Linked DNA regions of Caenorhabditis elegans. The gene in region 2 interacts genetically with the main gene of each other region. Each region holds a gene or a part of one and is shown on either strand. Other genes may lie near its edges.

The links. A genetic interaction does not mean that the proteins touch.
Region 1: changes in mbl-1 (region 2) and exc-7 impair growth when combined (synthetic growth defect), as found in Caenorhabditis elegans (one study listed by BioGRID).
Region 3: changes in mbl-1 (region 2) and fust-1 impair growth when combined (synthetic growth defect), as found in Caenorhabditis elegans (one study listed by BioGRID).

What each region holds. Positions count from the first base shown.
Region 1 is NC_003280.10:9,574,378-9,581,981, reverse strand, and holds exc-7 (RRM domain-containing protein), read right to left. Parts: upstream 6,012-7,604; 5' UTR 5,675-6,011; coding exon 5,615-5,674; intron 3,694-5,614; coding exon 3,516-3,693; intron 2,790-3,515; coding exon 2,686-2,789; intron 2,183-2,685; coding exon 2,029-2,182; intron 1,921-2,028; coding exon 1,629-1,920; intron 1,535-1,628; coding exon 1,111-1,534; intron 1,063-1,110; coding exon 904-1,062; 3' UTR 447-903; downstream 1-446. Other genes in the region: Membrane-associated tyrosine- and threonine-specific cdc2-inhibitory kinase wee-1.1, read left to right, coding at 1-17.
Region 2 is NC_003284.9:16,976,585-16,981,614, reverse strand, and holds the start of mbl-1 (Muscleblind-like protein), read right to left. Parts: upstream 3,008-5,030; coding exon 2,921-3,007; intron 1-2,920. UniProt on the Caenorhabditis elegans protein: Binds to RNA with repeat sequences 5'-CUG-3' and 5'-CCUG-3'.
Region 3 is NC_003280.10:7,151,021-7,155,983, forward strand, and holds fust-1 (RNA-binding protein FUS), read left to right. Parts: upstream 1-1,631; 5' UTR 1,632-1,679; coding exon 1,680-1,683; intron 1,684-1,883; coding exon 1,884-1,990; intron 1,991-2,115; coding exon 2,116-2,401; intron 2,402-2,449; coding exon 2,450-2,507; intron 2,508-3,071; coding exon 3,072-3,109; intron 3,110-3,316; coding exon 3,317-3,455; intron 3,456-3,500; coding exon 3,501-4,110; intron 4,111-4,158; coding exon 4,159-4,263; 3' UTR 4,264-4,452; downstream 4,453-4,963. Other genes in the region: T07F8.1 (Zinc finger PHD-type domain-containing protein), read left to right, coding at 1-261, 306-740; C27H5.2 (TAR DNA-binding protein 43 N-terminal domain-containing protein), read left to right, coding at 4,663-4,687.

The DNA of each region.
Region 1 (7,604 bases), on a different chromosome or scaffold from region 2:
ATTTATTTGATGAATAGGAAGGGAATGTAAGTTAACAGGTAAGTTTGCTCTTTTTTCTTTTATAAAATTCGTTTGTTATTTTGACTTTTGAAAATTAAAATTAGGAAATTAAAAAAAAGTTATTTAGAAATTAACATATCTCAAAAGTGAAAATAGTAATTAGGTGTTTGCAACATCTTAAAAAGCACATTTCACAATTAATAAACTTTCAATTAAAATTGCAATAAAATTACGGGGGAAATTTTCAAAATGTCAATTTAAAATAATAATTTAATTTTCAGGTCCGTTGTTTTTCATTCAGGTTCAATCGGTTAAATATCAATTCCAGTTTTTAACATCTCATATCATCGATTGGTACAAGTTCTTCCAATCAGAAAATCGAGTTCAGTTTTAATCATCAGCTTTGTTCTTCTTTTTTCTATAAAATAAATTATTTATCACTGAAATTGGTATACAATTTTTATTATACACATTTTAGTTTTAATATTTCAAAAAATCTTTGTAAAAGAAAAACAAGGAACCCAGTATAAAAATCAGAAAACTGTACGAAATACTGAAAAGTGACGGAGGATTTGGCATATTTTAGGTAAAATTGATAAAAGTTTTGAAGATGTTAAAGCTGATTCAAGGTTTTGGGACAGGGGTGGGCAGAAGCTCATTATTCTCAAGGGGCGTGGCTTATTTCGTTACCGGAATTCGATTGGTTTTGCTCACAGTTGCTCATGAAAGGGGATGGAACACAATGGGGGGGGGGGGGGGGTGACTAGTAGCACACAAAAAGTGACTGGAATTTCAGAGGGGGAAAATCACAATTTCTTTGGTTGGGGAAGAAGAAGAAAATGAAAAGAGAATGGGAGACAAGTGACTGGAATGATTGAAATTAGAATATTTTTGCAAAAAAGTTTAAGCTCGATATGGAGTTGATGACTTGAAAACTACTTGAAGCGTCTTTCCAGCCAAATTTGTGCCATTCAGAGAAAGCATTGCATTATAGGCTTCTGTGTAGTTGCTCATCGATACAAATGCATATCCTTTGCACTGTTGTGTCAGGTCTCGTAGAATCTCAAATATTTCAAGTAAAAAATTTTCCATTTAAAATTTCTTGCTTACCTTAACATTAACAATTGCTCCAAACTGTGAGAATAACTGCCATAACAGTGTATCATCAGTATCTGATGAAAGATTATATACGAAAAGGCAATATCCAGCAGTATCTGATGGCGGTAACGTGGCAGCAACTGAAGCTGACAATGCAGATAACTGAGCATGAGCTGCTAATCCAGCAACTTGTCCATTTGTTGCCGGAGGGCTCGCTGTTTGTGCAGCATGTTGTTGAGCAACTGCGTGTTGTTGTTGCTGATGCGCTATTAATGAAGCTGTGAAATCAGGTACGGCTGTTGCTGTGGCAAAAGGGTTCAGGCCAGCAAGAGCATTCAACTGAGACATCTGAAGAAGCGCAGAAGTTGTCAAATAGTCAGCAGGAAGTGTAGCGGTTGGCTGGGATACTGCAGTGATGGCGCCCATTGGGGAATATCTGAAATATTGGAAATTGGTCTTGAAAATGTAAAAAGAAGAATATACAAACTTGAAAATACAATTATTATCAATCAAGATTTCTTCGGGCTTACCTGTACTTTGAAGTAATTGGAGCATGGTGCATCGGTCCGATTCCTCCAGCAGTTGCTCTCAGCGTCGGTGCTCCAAGAATTGTGCTCAATGGTACCAGTGTTGTGGCGGCTTGCTGTACGGCTTCCAGATCACTCAGCAGTCCTTTCGGATTGTTACTTGCTGGATTATTTGCGAATTTCACTGTGATTTGCTCTGAACATCCTGATGGAATACTTCCATTTAGTGTTTTAATTGCAACATCAGCTTCGTCTTTTTTGTCGAAACGTACAAATCCAACGCCTTTTGAGAGTCCTGAAATAGCTCTAATAAAAAATGAAACAAATTATATTCCGTAAACAATCAACTATATTTTTCTTAATTTTGAAAATTTACACATTTCACATAATTTTAAAAACACACCAGTTACATTATCTGACAATATTCGAGATGTGATAATCTGTCCAAATGGCCGAAAAATCGATTCCAATTCGTGCAGAGTCATCGATTTTGGAATTCCAGAAACATATAAGTTTGAACCTTTGATTTGATCATTTGATGGACGGGCATATGATACCTGAAAATTTCAAGTTATAGATTACAATTTTAATATTCTAAAATTTAACTTTGTATTTTTACCAGTGAATGTTTTTCTTTTACATATATGAAGAATGCGAATTTTCAAGTAAAAATATAATTAAACATTTTCTAAGCGTTTTGTGCACATCTATTGCTCCTATTAGTGATTGTTTGAAAGACGTGAGACGTTTAACGGACGTTTAGACACACATTTAGAAGCTAAAATCATTATAAATCGGGAAAGGGGTTTCGCGAAATTAAAGTTGAAATTAAATTTTGAAATTAAAATATTAAAATAAAAAGATTGAAAACTTAAAACAAAAATTGCACAACAGGAGCAAGGGGGTGTTTTCTAATAGTCAAAGGAACACCCAAACAATTGAAAAATTAAAAACTTTTTTTGAAAATAAAAAAGAGTGAAAGTAAAGTAAAAGACAAGTAGCATGTAAATCAACTAAAAATAATAATATTTTTCCGAAAAAAAAAAAAAAAAGTTGACACCTTGATCGTCTTATTCTGCAATCGTAGGCCATTGAATGAGCTGACTGCACGAAGAGCATCCTCTTCTCGGACGTAATTAACAAAACCGTAACCAAGGGACTGTCCTGAAATGAAAAAACACCAAATGCCGAAGAGAGAAGAGAGAGAAAGAGTGTGAAAATATAACAAAAGAACAATTATTTATAGGTTACGGGTTTAGATTTTCTGATTGTATTTGTAGAGCTCTCTTTCTGAAAAATAATCTCCCTACATCTTTTTGCTACAAACAGTTTGCTGCTTATTCTAAATTAGTTCACATGATTTAATGGTATGAAACTATTCCAAAAAAGTATTTAGATATCACAACTTTAGAATTTTAACAATCCCTATTCAAAAATGTTTAGCACAAAAAGTGAATGTGAATTCTTGGTGTACAATTGTGTGTGTGTGTGAGTGATTTTGAAAAAAATAATGAAAAGTTGAAACGAATATCAGAACATCACGGAAAAAAGTAATAACCGAAAAATGAAAAACTTTAGGGGGAGTAGGGCGGGCGGGGCAGCAGCAATCACACACGCACACATGTACAGATTTACAAAAATCGATCCGAAAGAAGAAAATAAAATTATTTGTGATCTATCAGAAAAGAGGCGTCAAAATCTAGTTTCATGCTAAACTTTTTCGGCGAGACACAAAAAACGGTTAGAGCAACTCAATTCGTGGTTGGGAATCAAAAATCAGTCAGAAATAAAAATGATAAGGCAAGGGGTGATCTAGCTAGATAATGTTTGGATTTCGAAAATATATAAGTTTAAAATAAAATAATGAATAATATAGAAGTTCCTCCTCACCTGTTACTTTATCTCTGACCAATTTACAAGATTCAATTTCTCCGATCGATGTGAAAAGGGACCGAACTTCTTCTTGTGTCATTCCTTGTGGCAGATAATTGATAATTAAATTTGTTTTTGATTCTCCAATATCCACATTTGGCGCGGAGCAGTATCGTTGTGTACTTGTGTAGGTTGTCTGCAAAAAATATAAATTTAAAATTTAAAAGCGATTTTTGTATAATGGTCCCGGTTTTTCGAATGAAAATCTACGATTTTCAGATGTAAAAAATTCTGAACTCCCTAGATAGAAGTCCCGTTTTTGTCAATTTACATAAATAATACACCTCGTATATTTTCGGGTGCCTAGCATTGGTGAGAAGCGTCGGTAACCCCGGAAATTGTTCATTTTTTTCATTTGGGAATAAATAAATTATTATGTTTTTCTGCCATCTTTGTCCAATCTGACTATATATTCCATTTTTGGAGGTTACATCTGACCCAAAAATATTTCCCCTATGATTTCCAATCTTTCATTCCACCGGGAGATCTCAATTTTCAATTTCAATTCTTTTCTCGCGCGCGGGAGGGCTCTTCGGTACAAGTAACCGGAGAATTCATCCATTTCGCTGTCCATTATTTGGCCACGTCTCAAATTTCCTGTGCGTGAGCAAGTCTATATGGAAGAGATGGAGCCCCCCGCATGTTCTTCCCACCTCCTGGTGTGCTCACTGGAAGAGCAACAATACCCATGGGTATTTGAGAGGGAATAATGTATGAAATGAAATATATGCAAACGTTTTTTTCTACGCTGTTGGAATGAATAGACTTTAAGAGTTTTTTATAGGATCTTTGATTAAAGAGTTCCATATGCGTTTTATAGAAATAAAATTTTGAACCGTCCGGTATTGAGGAGGAACGTAATTTAGCAAAACTGTGATATAAATTCTAGTAGATTTCGAATTGAATTTTCACAAAATTTTAAAAGTTTTTAAATTTTAATTTATAGGTCTTCTATCAATTTTTTGAAGAAACACTTCAAAAAAACTGAAGAAAATCGCTGAGTTTTAGAATATTCCATATATATAGTACCTCTAGAAATTTAAATTAAAAAAAAAACTTCGTTTCTACCAATTTCATTAGTCATATATTGCACAATTATGATATTGTTAATTCAGCTATATTTTTTCAATAATCAAAAAACTTTTTAGAAAAAAAGAAAACAATTTTCAACAGGAAATCTAAAAATCTAGTATTCTCTTGTTATTTTTCAATTTTTCTCTCCATATTTTAATTTTCATGTCATTTCCACTCCCATCCACCAACACCACAACACATCATCATAATATAGGTGGATGAGCACGCAGGAATCTGAGCTTCTGAGCTCTTTCACAAAACAAATATTTTTATTTTTGGTCCTTATTCCTCCCTCATTCCTCCCTCAAGGCGTAATGAATGGGACGTATTTTCGAAAAGGAGTGGTTCGGAAAGGCGGAGAAAAGAGAAGAAGAGTAAGGAAGAAGGCTTCTCGGATTTTGAAAAATTGGCATTTGGGAATTGGGAAGCTTTCTTGAAAGAATGACACGTCAAATGCACACGCATGTATACCAAGTTTGGACTCGGGCTCACTGACGGATTGGACATTGGGGAAGAAACAATATTCAGATTTATGGTTATTACTAGAATTCAAGGCTCAACAATTTGTTTAGCTTTTAGATCTGAACGGAGCCTAAGCATCCAGTTTACCTAGTCCGAATTTTAAACAACTGTCATGATCAGGTTCTAAAAGCTTTTTTTAAACTTTTAATTTAACTAATAAAAAAACCATTCACAGTTAGAACCTGTAACAAACTTACAGCTCTTCAAAATTACCGCAGTTTACTGTTCTACTTTTAAAATGTGTATCTTTGCTATGGTTCTATATTTTATTAGTTGAATTTTTGTTGATAAAATCTTAGGCAACCAAAATATGAAATGTTACAGTCGAGTAGATTTCTGGACTTTTTGTAGACCTCAATGTTCAAAGATTTTGAAAACCGTATTTATTTTTGTTTTTTTTTTCTACTGCTTCTGGACTTTCATATAGATCTTTCCTAATAAAAATTGAAAAAAAAAATTACCTGAACGGGACTCGTCGGAACATTGTTGTTATTCGGTGTTAGCAACGCTTCCATCGTCATTTTGAAGACCGAATTTTGGAATTCAAAAATTCGAATTTCCTATCCAAAAATGCGTCGTTCGTTGTCTTCTGAAGTTGACACACCACCACTTCTTCCACTTGGTCTGTCAGGAAACAAAAGAGGGCTCTTTTCAAAAAGAAAGAGCTCCGGTTGTTGTGAGAGCAAAGAGAAGGAAGAGGAAAAGGGGCTCAGGGGGGCGGGGGGCCCGTCGCGAGGATATATGTAGAAATATGCACAAATGGGCGTGGCCTATTTATATTTTGTGTATGTTTGTGTGCCGCGGCTCCCCGTATATGCTCCGTTCGTTTTGGGCCGGCCGAGACTAGGGGAGATGGATCTGTAATTTCATAGGTTTGATAATTAATTTAAAAAAACATATCAGAGAGCAAGAAAAATAGAAGTGAAATAAAAGTAAATGGAAAACGTTTAATATCAGTGAAACTTTACAGAACTAGTTGTACACCATGATTTTTCACAATCCTACTCCACTCAACTGAAGCTGCAGAATTATGGCAGCGCACAGCATGACATACCTATACTCTGCCACTCAATTCCCTGTTGTTTTCAATTCTAATTAGCTTTGTTATTGGTTTACATAGACGCATGAATATATCTCATTGCCAATGAAAAGAACATTTATTGTTTTTATTATTGCTGGTATGATGCTTAGTTTCTAAATACCTGTGTATGTGTGTAACAGGTAAAATGGGAACTGTACGGATTATGAGGTAGGTAAAGTTTTAAAAAGGCAGATAAGAAGCCGAAAGACTAGGAAACAAGAACTACTAGAAATTGCAGGAAACTTTCCACAATCTATATAAAGGAATTCAGTTGTATAAGATTTTGGATCATGTGCTCAGACGGAAATGAAGGAAACAGGTGAACTTGACACATTATATGGATACGTATACACGCCAATTACGGCTTGAATAAGTGTATAGTGAGGGTCCAGACATTACAAGAATACAGTGTGAAAGCTGAATTTCATAATTTCCAACATCATAGAAAAAAGAATAAGAGCGCATCATGATTGAGGATTTTTGTGAGGGCAGGTGTGGAAACAATGGTTGATCAAACATGACTGACCTGGTTAGTGAAGGATATAGGGGAAAAGGATTGAAGATGACACGTATTTGAATAGGTGTTCGGTAAGAGGGAATACGTGAAGCCCGGTGGAAATTTTGTGGCTCTGGGAAGTTTGAATTTTTAAAGAAACGTAGGGGCTACGAAAGAACGAGTTAAATAAACCTATAGAATACCATCAACCATTCTACAGTAACCCTGTTACTTGCTCCGATTCCAGTTTTCTTGAACTGGAAACACTCCATCGCAAGTTTGCACCATCTAGTCAAGAAAATATCCAAATGCTTCTGCAATTTTGCAACAAAAAAAAAGGATTCCGCTGATCTTGAGAATATCCCAAAACCTGTCTAAGCACAAAACTTTGGCAATTGGTCACTATGGAATGCTAGGAAACAATAAAAAAAATCGACATCATTGTCATCTCAAAATAACTACCATAGAAACGGTGATCGACGATGAAACGCACTCTTCAATTGTGGTTTTCCATTAGTCCTCTTCTTCACCGCCTCTCGTCCCACCCCATACAAATACACACGACACGCACAGTTGAATGAACAACAAAACCTGAATAGGTAGAGAGGGGGACTCAATTATGTGTTAGTTAGGTAGAGGGGGGTGGCCCCCATATTGTTGTGTGAAAAGTGGTGCAGAGGAGAGGGCGGCCGGATGAGAGTACGTACCCCCGCGTCGGCGAGATTCATAATTGCTCAGGCCCTTTTACAGGATACAGTATTTCATGCCTTCGATCCGTTCCCAATAATTAGGTATGGCCCTTCCATTTGGACTTTTGGTTTGAGATAAATGACTACTAAGTACTTCAAACTACATTTAACCCTTGCGATTTTGG
Region 2 (5,030 bases):
TTTTCTATTAAGGTCATGATTTTTAACTGGTAAAAAAGTAAAACCAAAACTTTTAGTTTAGCGCCTAATGAATTCTATTTCATGTTTTTCACAAAATTATATTTCGCTGAAACAAAGACATTCAGTTTTTCATTTACCCCCCCCCCCCCCCCCATCAAGATCATTTGATCTGGAATCGGCAGTTAATAAAGATAAGAATCGACACTACAGTAATCTTCAAAATAAAACCTATCCTATCTAAGAATCTAAAACTGGAACAAAAATCAAAATCAGTACCTGTTTCCATACCATTTCACCGATGTGAAAAATGGAAAACGGTTTTTGATCGTGCCACTCAAATGAAATCAAACGAGGACAATGGAATGCATAATAGGGGGGGGGGGGGGGGGGAATTGATTCATATACAGTACGCATATATAGTATTACTGATTTGTATATTCATTTGAGGGGAAAGAGGAAGGTGATTTGTGTATGTGACAGCAGACAGGAAGATAGGTAGAACAAGAATACAACACATTTGACTAGAAACATTGAAATGGCGAAACGAAACGAGGAACGGAATATCTTCTCATTCGGTTGCCCCGTCATTTTTTTTCTCGTTCACAAAAGGAGTGAGTCGTGAAAAAAGGTTTTGAGAGACGTCTCTAGAGAGTTTCCAACACCACTTCCACTTTCTAATTATGCACTCATTGTTTTGCTAAGCTGTTGCAGAAAATTTTGTGGTAGGATTATGAAAGGATCATTATGACTCAAATTGCAATTCTTTGATGGTAAACTAAACTGGATTTGGCTAAAAAATTTTAAATGATCGAGTAGCTTTCAGAAATCGTCCAGCAACACAATGTCGCAAAAAGGAAAGAGCAAGTTCAAAAACCTTTTTCAAAATGATTCCAAAAGTTTTCATGTTCGTTTTCAAGTTTTGTCGTAGATTCTCTTAATGCATTAGTACGGACCAAAATTAACTTCAGCTGCGCATCACAGAAAGTTATGCACTATGTCAGCGCAAATTCGCTCTACGGACCAAATCCAATTATTTATGAATTTATAGAAAACAGTACAAAAACTTTTTGTTAAAAGTTTTGCTAAAACAGTTTCTTAAGGTTTTCGAGTCAATTTACCGGGCGTTGGCTAAAAGTCTAACTTGCGGAGACGCAGTGAACAGTTTTTCGTGGCACTTTCATGATCAGTTGAAAAACACTAGCTTAACAGTCCATTGATTCTTGTATAAATGCTAATTTAGAAGAAATACAAATTTTGGACCATGGATTGACTCTACTCTTTTGAATCATTACTTTATATCTCGGTTCATTTTAAAGATATCAATAATTTATTAACTACGAAAGAAAAAGAACAAACAATTATTCTGTTAGTTAACAAATTTTGAATAGAACAAACGATAGCTGAGATATAAGCTGTCAATGTTAAACAATGGGGTGCAATACTAATAGAGCACATATGGTAGCAAAATTTTTTTAACTGGCAAATTAATAGGTTTCCGTTTTTAAACAGTTATTATAAAAACACATTGTCAACTATTTTAGCCAAAGAAAAGACGCACCCGTTACAAACTTAATTTAACAAATGAATAAAAAACTAGCTTTTCGTACACAAAATTAGAATGACTAACGATGCACTATATATCAAAGAAAGAAAGTTGAGGGGTACCGACAGATGTATATTGGAAAAAAAAGTACAGTTTGTATTGTTGGAATGTTACGTTTGTGGACAGACAAAAAAATGTCGTGCTCGACGTCAAAGCAAAACATTTTCTTTCATTTTTCTCCTGTGAAAAATTTCAGGTAAATGCAGAGAGAAAGAGATAAAAAAATAGCGTTTTAAATATGTAAAGATGTATGGGATATTTTGAAAGTGCTGATACTGTTTTTAATAATTGAAAATTGTCTGAAAATTGCTCTGAAAAATAGTGAAGTACTTTTCTAATAAAACGCATAAAAGTCATGCATAAAATTGTCATTCATAGTGTTGCTCAATAGCAAGATCAGAAAATTTGTTGAAATAAGTCAATCACACATTTAAAAAGTAGTGATTGTTAACAGTCAAACTTTCAAAATTTTCGGACCAAAAATCAGGCTCGAGAATATGTTTTCAAAGGTTTTCAAAGGTTTTTTTTTTTATTTTAGCATTATAGCAGTTTAATTAATTTTCCTTACTGACAAAATTTTGCCTTTAAACCTAATAATAGAAAGCGATACAAAGGCAAGTGCATATTCATAGTACCAATTCGTGCAGTTACTTCTTAGTAACTTTAGTATCAAAAAATTAAATACTAAAATCAAAATAATAGATGAAGTACGGCAAGTTGAAAATGATTAAAAACCATTCCTGTAATCCAAAAGTTACTAAATATGTAGCAAAACTATTTTTAAATAAAATTTTTTATTTCGAGTCTAAAAATGTTGGAAACTTATCTTCTATCAATTTTTAGAAGTCGAAGAAGAATTTTTAGAAAAAAAATTCCTACGAATTTTGTTTTTTTTTTGCGGAAATTGTTGCAAATCAATATTTAAATACGGTAGGGATTCGAATATGCGGATTCAAACATGTGAAAGTTTTCTCAAAAAATCTCAAACTTTTCTGTAATAGCCATTTTTTGACTGTCAATAAATCATTCTCAAATAAAACATTGTTTTTCTATGATAATTGGCTATTTTTGCCAACATTTCAGTAGTTTCAACATTTTTTTCCACTGATAATAGTTTCAAAAGTACTGATGTAAACTTTTTTTGACATTTAGCTGTTACACCAGGAAAGACAATCATTCTTCAAAATTAAACAAAACTATATGTTTCGATTGCCCTTTTTTCTTTTCTACATGTGCGCAACACCTGGTGCTCTGTCAGAACGTACACTTGTGCCGCAACCTTTCACGTATGTTTGACTAAAAAAGTGATTCACTCACAGTTTCTTGGTCGATTCGAGCCTTCTTGAACACCGTCCCCTTCTTATTTTGTCGCCTGATACGTCTTTTTAAGGATCTACGAGACATTGCTGAAATTGAGAGGAAGATTGATTAGTCATCAGCAGCCAACAATAACCAATGGATTTGTGGAGTTGCTCGAAAAAATGCTCGTGATTATATTTTCTCGTTGGGGGACGTGAAAAAAGCACTCTTTGCGTTGTAAACTCTTATGTGATAGATATGTGATAAGTTTTAGCGGTATGTAGGGTAGGAGGGAGGCAACGAGAATAATGGGACGTTGGGAGTAGACGATGAAAAATGATAATGGAATTTTCAAGAGTTGAGAACACTTAAAACTACTAACAAGATTAAATGGGTTTTTTTGGCGGAAATTGGGTAAGTTTTTGAAAACTTGAGATTTTTAACAACGACTAATTTTTAAAGATATTCAGACTTTTGGAAGAAACTTATAATGTTTGTAAGATAATCTTTGAAATACATAGGCTACCACAAGAAAATTGATTTCATTTTTAGTGAAGCATTTGTTGAAGGGCCATTTAAAAAGGTTATTTCCCAAAAAAAAACTACATATTTGAAAACTTTAAACAGATTGATGTTTTTATTTTGCAAGATGTGTAATAGTGTATTCTATACTAATAGAACTGATATATATATTAGAGATTGTAAGAATGCTTTCTGAGCATTCTTACAATTTTGAATGAAAAATAAAAAAATAAAAATGATGTTTGCCTGCAAAATTCTGCAAAAAAATTTGCCGTTAAAAAAATGAATTCGAAAGTTAATTTCTCAGCATACACAAAGACCGAAAATTAAATAATTTTTTGAAACTCGAATTAATTTTTCAAATCAATGGTTCCTGTTTTTATACAGAACAAATGCGAAACTTCACAACAAAAGTACACAATTTAAAAACCAAAAACCTGATGTTTCCCAACTGGGGGAAGTGTATGCCTGTCTTCGGCTGATTTATGACTTGACAACGTGTGTGCGCTACTTGCTCACACGTTGTATTGAAACGTGACTTCAGAATAGACACAAGGAATTAATCAGCGCATAACACAGCTATTATGGAATGATGATGAAGTTGAAGGTGGAGTAGCGTAAATGAAAAACTTGTTTTAAAGTACCGAAAATAGTCTGCAATTCACGATAACCACGAATTAACAATGCAGAAAAGTTAAGAAAAAAAATTAAATTCAAAAAATAAAATATTTTTTTCCTTGAAAAAAATTACACTCAAAATAAAAAACTGCGTGGCGTGTACTGCAGAAAACCTAATATTCTTTTTCTCGTCCACCCACGGAGAAAAGACAAAATTCGGGCCCCAACCAATATCAGGCCGCCGACATATCACGGGTTCCGCCCGCCGCTATGTTTAACTCGCAACGTGACAGCTCGCCATGACCACAGCGAGTTAAACGCTGCGGCGCGCGGAACCCGTACGATGTCGGCGGTCTGATATTGGTTGGTGTCCCGAATTTTGTCTTTTCTCCGTGGGTGGACGAGAAAAAGAATATTAGGTTTTCTGCAGTACACGCCACGCGGTTTTTTTTTATTTTAAGTGTATTTCTTAAATAAAGTGTTTATCATGATGCTCTAAATTATTCCAGTCATTAGCTTGCCTGTTGGTCTGTTAATTTAAGGCATTTTTGCTAAAACTGAGTAGTATTTTTAAATGATCCGATAGTTCCCGGAGGTATGAAACTTTGAAAACCATAATTCTATTAATTAATTAACTATATACTCTATAGTTTTCTTAAATGTCTTACATACGATTTTCATACCCCCAAATCATTTCTCAAAGGAAAATCTCAGCATGTTGCTTCCAGTCTTTCTTATTTTTTTCTTTCAATATGACCTTTCAACAATCCACTTGAACGTATCTCGGTCGCTTCTCGGATATCTATTTTCAACGTTTTCCCGCCACCGGTGTGTCCATTGTCCTCCGGCGAATATGGCAAAAAAACCGGTCTTGCTCTTTCCAATCTTGATCTTCAGTTTTTGTTTCAATATTCAGCCTGCTCTATTTTAGTTCATGGACTCATAGACAACTTATGGGTTTGTTTCAAAAACAGTTCTGCACTCAAGT
Region 3 (4,963 bases), on a different chromosome or scaffold from region 2:
CCGACTGCTTGTTTAAAATGTCAAGAAAAACATATTCTTTCTAATGAGGAAATGATTGAACATGCTAATGAGGCACTTGATGAGCTTGCCAGGCGCTTACAACACGAGACAAGCCATCTTAGTAACTTGAAAGCTGCTCGCCAAGACATGACAACGGCTATTTCGACTCGAACTGGGCCAACAAAACAGAAACTCGAGGAAGTTTTGGATTATATTGGCTGTAGTCAAAAAATTAACTATCAGGGATTAACCGGAAATCAAGTAAATTTGTGATTTTCGGTATTTGAAAATATTCTAATCTTTAGGTTCGCCAACTACTAAGGACAGAAAACATTGACAAAGTACTAAAAGTCTTCACGGACTGTAGTTGGATCCAGAATATGAGAAACTTCATGAATGATTTGGCGTCACTCATGTCAGCAAGCAATAACGCAGTCTTCACAGATGATGATTTGAATGATTTCGCTAAAACTTTGAAGAACTTGAAGAGAAACATCAGAATTCTTCATCCTTCGATGGGAGTCACTCCTAAACTTCACATCCTCTGTACTCACCTCGAGCCTTACATTAGAGCAAAAAGAACTTGGGGTCGTACTTCAGAACAAGGGATGGAAGCGTTTCATGTGCTCTTCAGGACAACAGAGACGCGATTTTCTTCTGTGATGTCTCTCAAGCTACGCGCTGAGTTGATGATCGACTATTTCGCTAACATCAACTATATTTCCGATAAAAGAAACTAGTGACAGCAAACATTTCTAGGAAACCGTTTTTATAGTACATCTCTCTCTCTCTCTCTCACTCACATGTTTTTTTTTCGATTAAATCAATTAAACGAGCAGAAAAGCCATGAATGATCTCTAAATTCCGACTTACAAAGTGTTTTGAGTTGATGATAAGCGTGAATCCTAATTTTCAATTGCCTAAACTAACAAACGGGTTGTGAATGGGTTCAGATTGGGGTACAGCATGAAAATATTTCAAAAGAAGTGAATACAATTTTAGAAAAACCGAATACAAGCAATGTAAACATGAAAATGAAACAAAAAAACGAAAAAAAAATCAACCTTGTTCGAAGAAAATGATGAGAATTAGAATGAGCAAGGAAATGCGAGAGACTTGGAAATGTGAGAGACGCAGCATTTCACGCGAAACGCGCCAGCAATCGTCGCGCTTGCGCATTTCGAGACGAGGATACTGTGTAAAATTGTAATCATTTGTTGCAATTTTTGTTCTTGAGTTAACTTTATTTTTCATTTTCCTCGACCTAATTTCTCAAAATTGTTAAAATGTATACTATTTATTACCCTGCAGTGCTCAAATCTTGTGATGAGCACTATCAAAGTTTTAGATGGAGTTTTTTAAAAAGTATTTTTTTTAGTATAATTGTTTTTTTCAGTAAATTTAGTTTTTTGGAGCAGAACGCTGAAATCTGCCAAGGTTCGCTACAACCAGATATATCTAGATATAACTGCAAATGTGCGCGCTCCATTGAGACTACACGCGACGCACAACCGCGACGCGTATTGGACAGCGTTCTCCGTCTTCTTTGAACAGCATCTGTCCTCAACCATTCTCTTCTCGTTTCTCTTTTAATTTTAAGATATATTTGCTCTTCAAAGGATAAATTTCAGTCAACGCATCGACACGTAGCGAGTGCCTCGACTTGAATATCGACAAAAATGGGTTAGTTTCTTTTTTAATAGTCGTTTTCTTATTGGAATATCGAAATCCGAGTGTCCACTGAAAGTATTTTATTTATCCTCCTAACACCATTCATGTTTTATAAATTAGGTTAATGCGTGAATTTGTGGGAGCTCCCGAATACAAATCACGGGCGTTGCCATTTCTGTTTCCCGGTTATTTGAAAACATTATCGATTTCAGCGGCTTACGACCAAAGTCAACCCGACTACAGCACACCCGAAGGGCAGCAGGCGTATTGGGCCTATTATCAACAGCAACAACAACAACAACCAGGAGGTCAACCTGATGTAAGTATATGAGATTTTGTGGGCTGATCGCCTCACTATCATGGCTTTGCTCAGAATTGTTCAGGAGCATAGTTCTGCTGTTGAATACCACCAGGCTCACAGACGTTTCATAGTTTAAATTTCAGCAGGATCCGTACGCCGCTGCTGCTTATGGAGGCCACGACCAAGCACAACAACCGCAAAATCCATATGCACCACCACCACCAGGAGCGGATCCATACGGCCAAGGATCCGGAGGCCAATCCGGAGGATCTGACCCCTACGGGCAAAGTAGAGGTGGCGGCCGTGGAGGATTCGGAGGCAGTCGTGGAGGAGGTGGATATGATGGTGGACGTGGCGGAAGTCGTGGAGGATACGACGGAGGACGCGGAGGTTACGGCGGTGATCGCGGAGGACGTGGTGGTGGTAGAGGTTTGTTCTTGTTTGATTAATGTATTCATAATAAACCATGTTTTTCAGGTGGCTACGACGGAGAACGCCGAGGTGGGAGCCGATGGGATGACGGAAACTCTGATCGGTAGGTAAACATCTGAATGTTTCGTTAGCAATATGCGGTATTTCCAAATTCGTTTGCTTAACCATCCAAAAATTGTTGTGTTGTGTTGAAAATCGAAACTGCTACAGAGTTCAGAGTATTCAGTGTTCATATACAAAATCTATTCACTATTAAAAACTTGCGAAGAGTAATGTATTGTGTCCGTCATTGTAAGTTTCATGAAAAAAGGTCAGTGTCCGCAATGAAGCACAAATTCATTGTGCTTTATCGATTTGTAGGGCTATGGCCCGGTTTCCTTCAAAATATTATGCAGTTCAGCTATTATTACGTGTGTTCGGTATCAAAACGAGTCAAGAGTGAAGAACAAATGAAGTCTACCAAACGACTTCGAGCGTGCAGGAGATGCTTCTGTCTGAAATCTCTCATGCTTGAAAAATCTTAAAATCTAAATGATCGTGTTTGTGCGTACAAAAAAAAATCAATTGAAGGTGTATTATTGCGCGGTCGAAATCTGAAAACATTTTACTGTGGTGTTAGCATGAGAGAAGAAGACAGAAGACTCCATTCAAGAATGATGTTTTGCAGACAGGGCGGACCTCCAGGAGGAAGAGGAGGTTATCAAGGTATTGAATACGTAAATTGCTTTATCTTTCGTACCACAACGAGTTTATTACCAAAATTAAAAAAAAATGGGTATCCTACCGAGTTTATCATCGAAATTCAAAAACAAAAAACATTAAACGAATATAAAAATACTTGTTCCTGTGCTTTATATTATTGACAGTTGGACGAAAAAATTGTTTGTAAAAGTTTTCATATTTTCATTGCAGACAGAGGACCCCGACGTGACGGACCACCAAGTGGAGGAGGATACGGAGGCGGTGGTGCTGCTTCAGGAAACCGCGAATTCGGATCCGATGGGCGAGTTGAGTTGAAGGAGACCGTCTTTGTGCAGGGAATTTCCACCACGTATGTTTTGTAATCGCCCAATTAAAAAATGTATCTATATTTCAGTGCAAATGAAGCCTACATCGCCGACGTCTTCAGTACCTGCGGAGATATTGCAAAGAACGATCGCGGACCGAGAATCAAGATTTACACCGATCGCAACACCGGAGAACCAAAAGGAGAATGCATGATAACATTCGTCGATGCTTCTGCAGCTCAACAAGCTATAACTATGTACAATGGGCAACCATTCCCTGGCGGCTCAAGCCCGATGAGTATTTCACTAGCCAAGTTCCGCGCTGATGCAGGAGGTGAACGAGGTGGTCGTGGTGGACGAGGCGGTTTCGGAGGTGGTCGTGGTGGTCCTATGGGAGGACGTGGTGGCTTTGGCGGTGATCGTGGAGGATATGGCGGCGGCGGTGGTCGTGGAGGATTCGATGGTGGTCGCGGTGGTGGCGGTGGATTCCGTGGCGGAGACCGAGGAGGATTCCGAGGTGGTGATAGAGGAGGCTTCCGCGGAGGAGATCGTGGAGGATTCCGAGGCGGCGACCGTGGTGGCGATCGTGGAGGATTCAGAGGAGGCCGTGGAGTAGGTGGCGGAAATGCTAATATGGAACAAAGGAAGAATGACTGGCCATGTGAGCAGTGCGGAAATAGCAACTTCGCTTTCAGAAGAGTTAGTTAATTTTGTTTTTTCAAAAAAAAAACACGGGTTTTCTTCTAGGAATGCAATCAATGCCAAGCCCCGAGACCAGATGGAGGATCCGGAGGTGGTGGTGGCGAGCGACGAGGAGGACCACCAGGAGGTGACCGATACCGTCCATATTGAGCCATCAACTCGTCTCCCCATAAATTTTAACATCTAATTTAAATTCTCTGATCTCTTCAATGTGAGAGACTTGTAACAATTTTATATCCACCTTTATATTCTACTTCGATACATTCAAATTTCAATGTTCTTTTTATATTTCATTTTTTCCCACTTTTTATTTTTAACGAAAATAAAAATTTTTGCACATTAACATCTGTTTTTTTTGCAATTGTCCGCATTTCCCTACCCATCAGCTGCTTTGCGTGTCACTGTCTGTTTTCTCTCCGCACTTCATCTCTACGTCACACTATCTGCTTCTCCATCTCTTTCGTCTCGACCTCCCTTTGCCTCGGCGCCCACCTCTCATTCTTCCAATTTACCCGGGAGAGACTGTCCGTTCGAAACTTCGACCGACTAATGAGCAGTATTACAGGACTACAAGGTAAGATTCGAAGAAATCGCTATGAGAATAGATTTTTAGTAAGATTATTCTCGCATATTCAGAATAAAAATATAAAACTATCAATGAAAGTTATTTTAGATTCAGAATTAAAGTATAGTTCTTAAACTTTATGATTGATAGGCTCTACGAACATTTAATTTGAAGATAAAAACGTAGAAAGTTACATCGTAATTTAAATAGACTCTGACATGCCTTCACAAAGGCACACGGATTTATTCAGATGGGTCTTCGCGCGCAAAAAAGTTAATGGTAGTT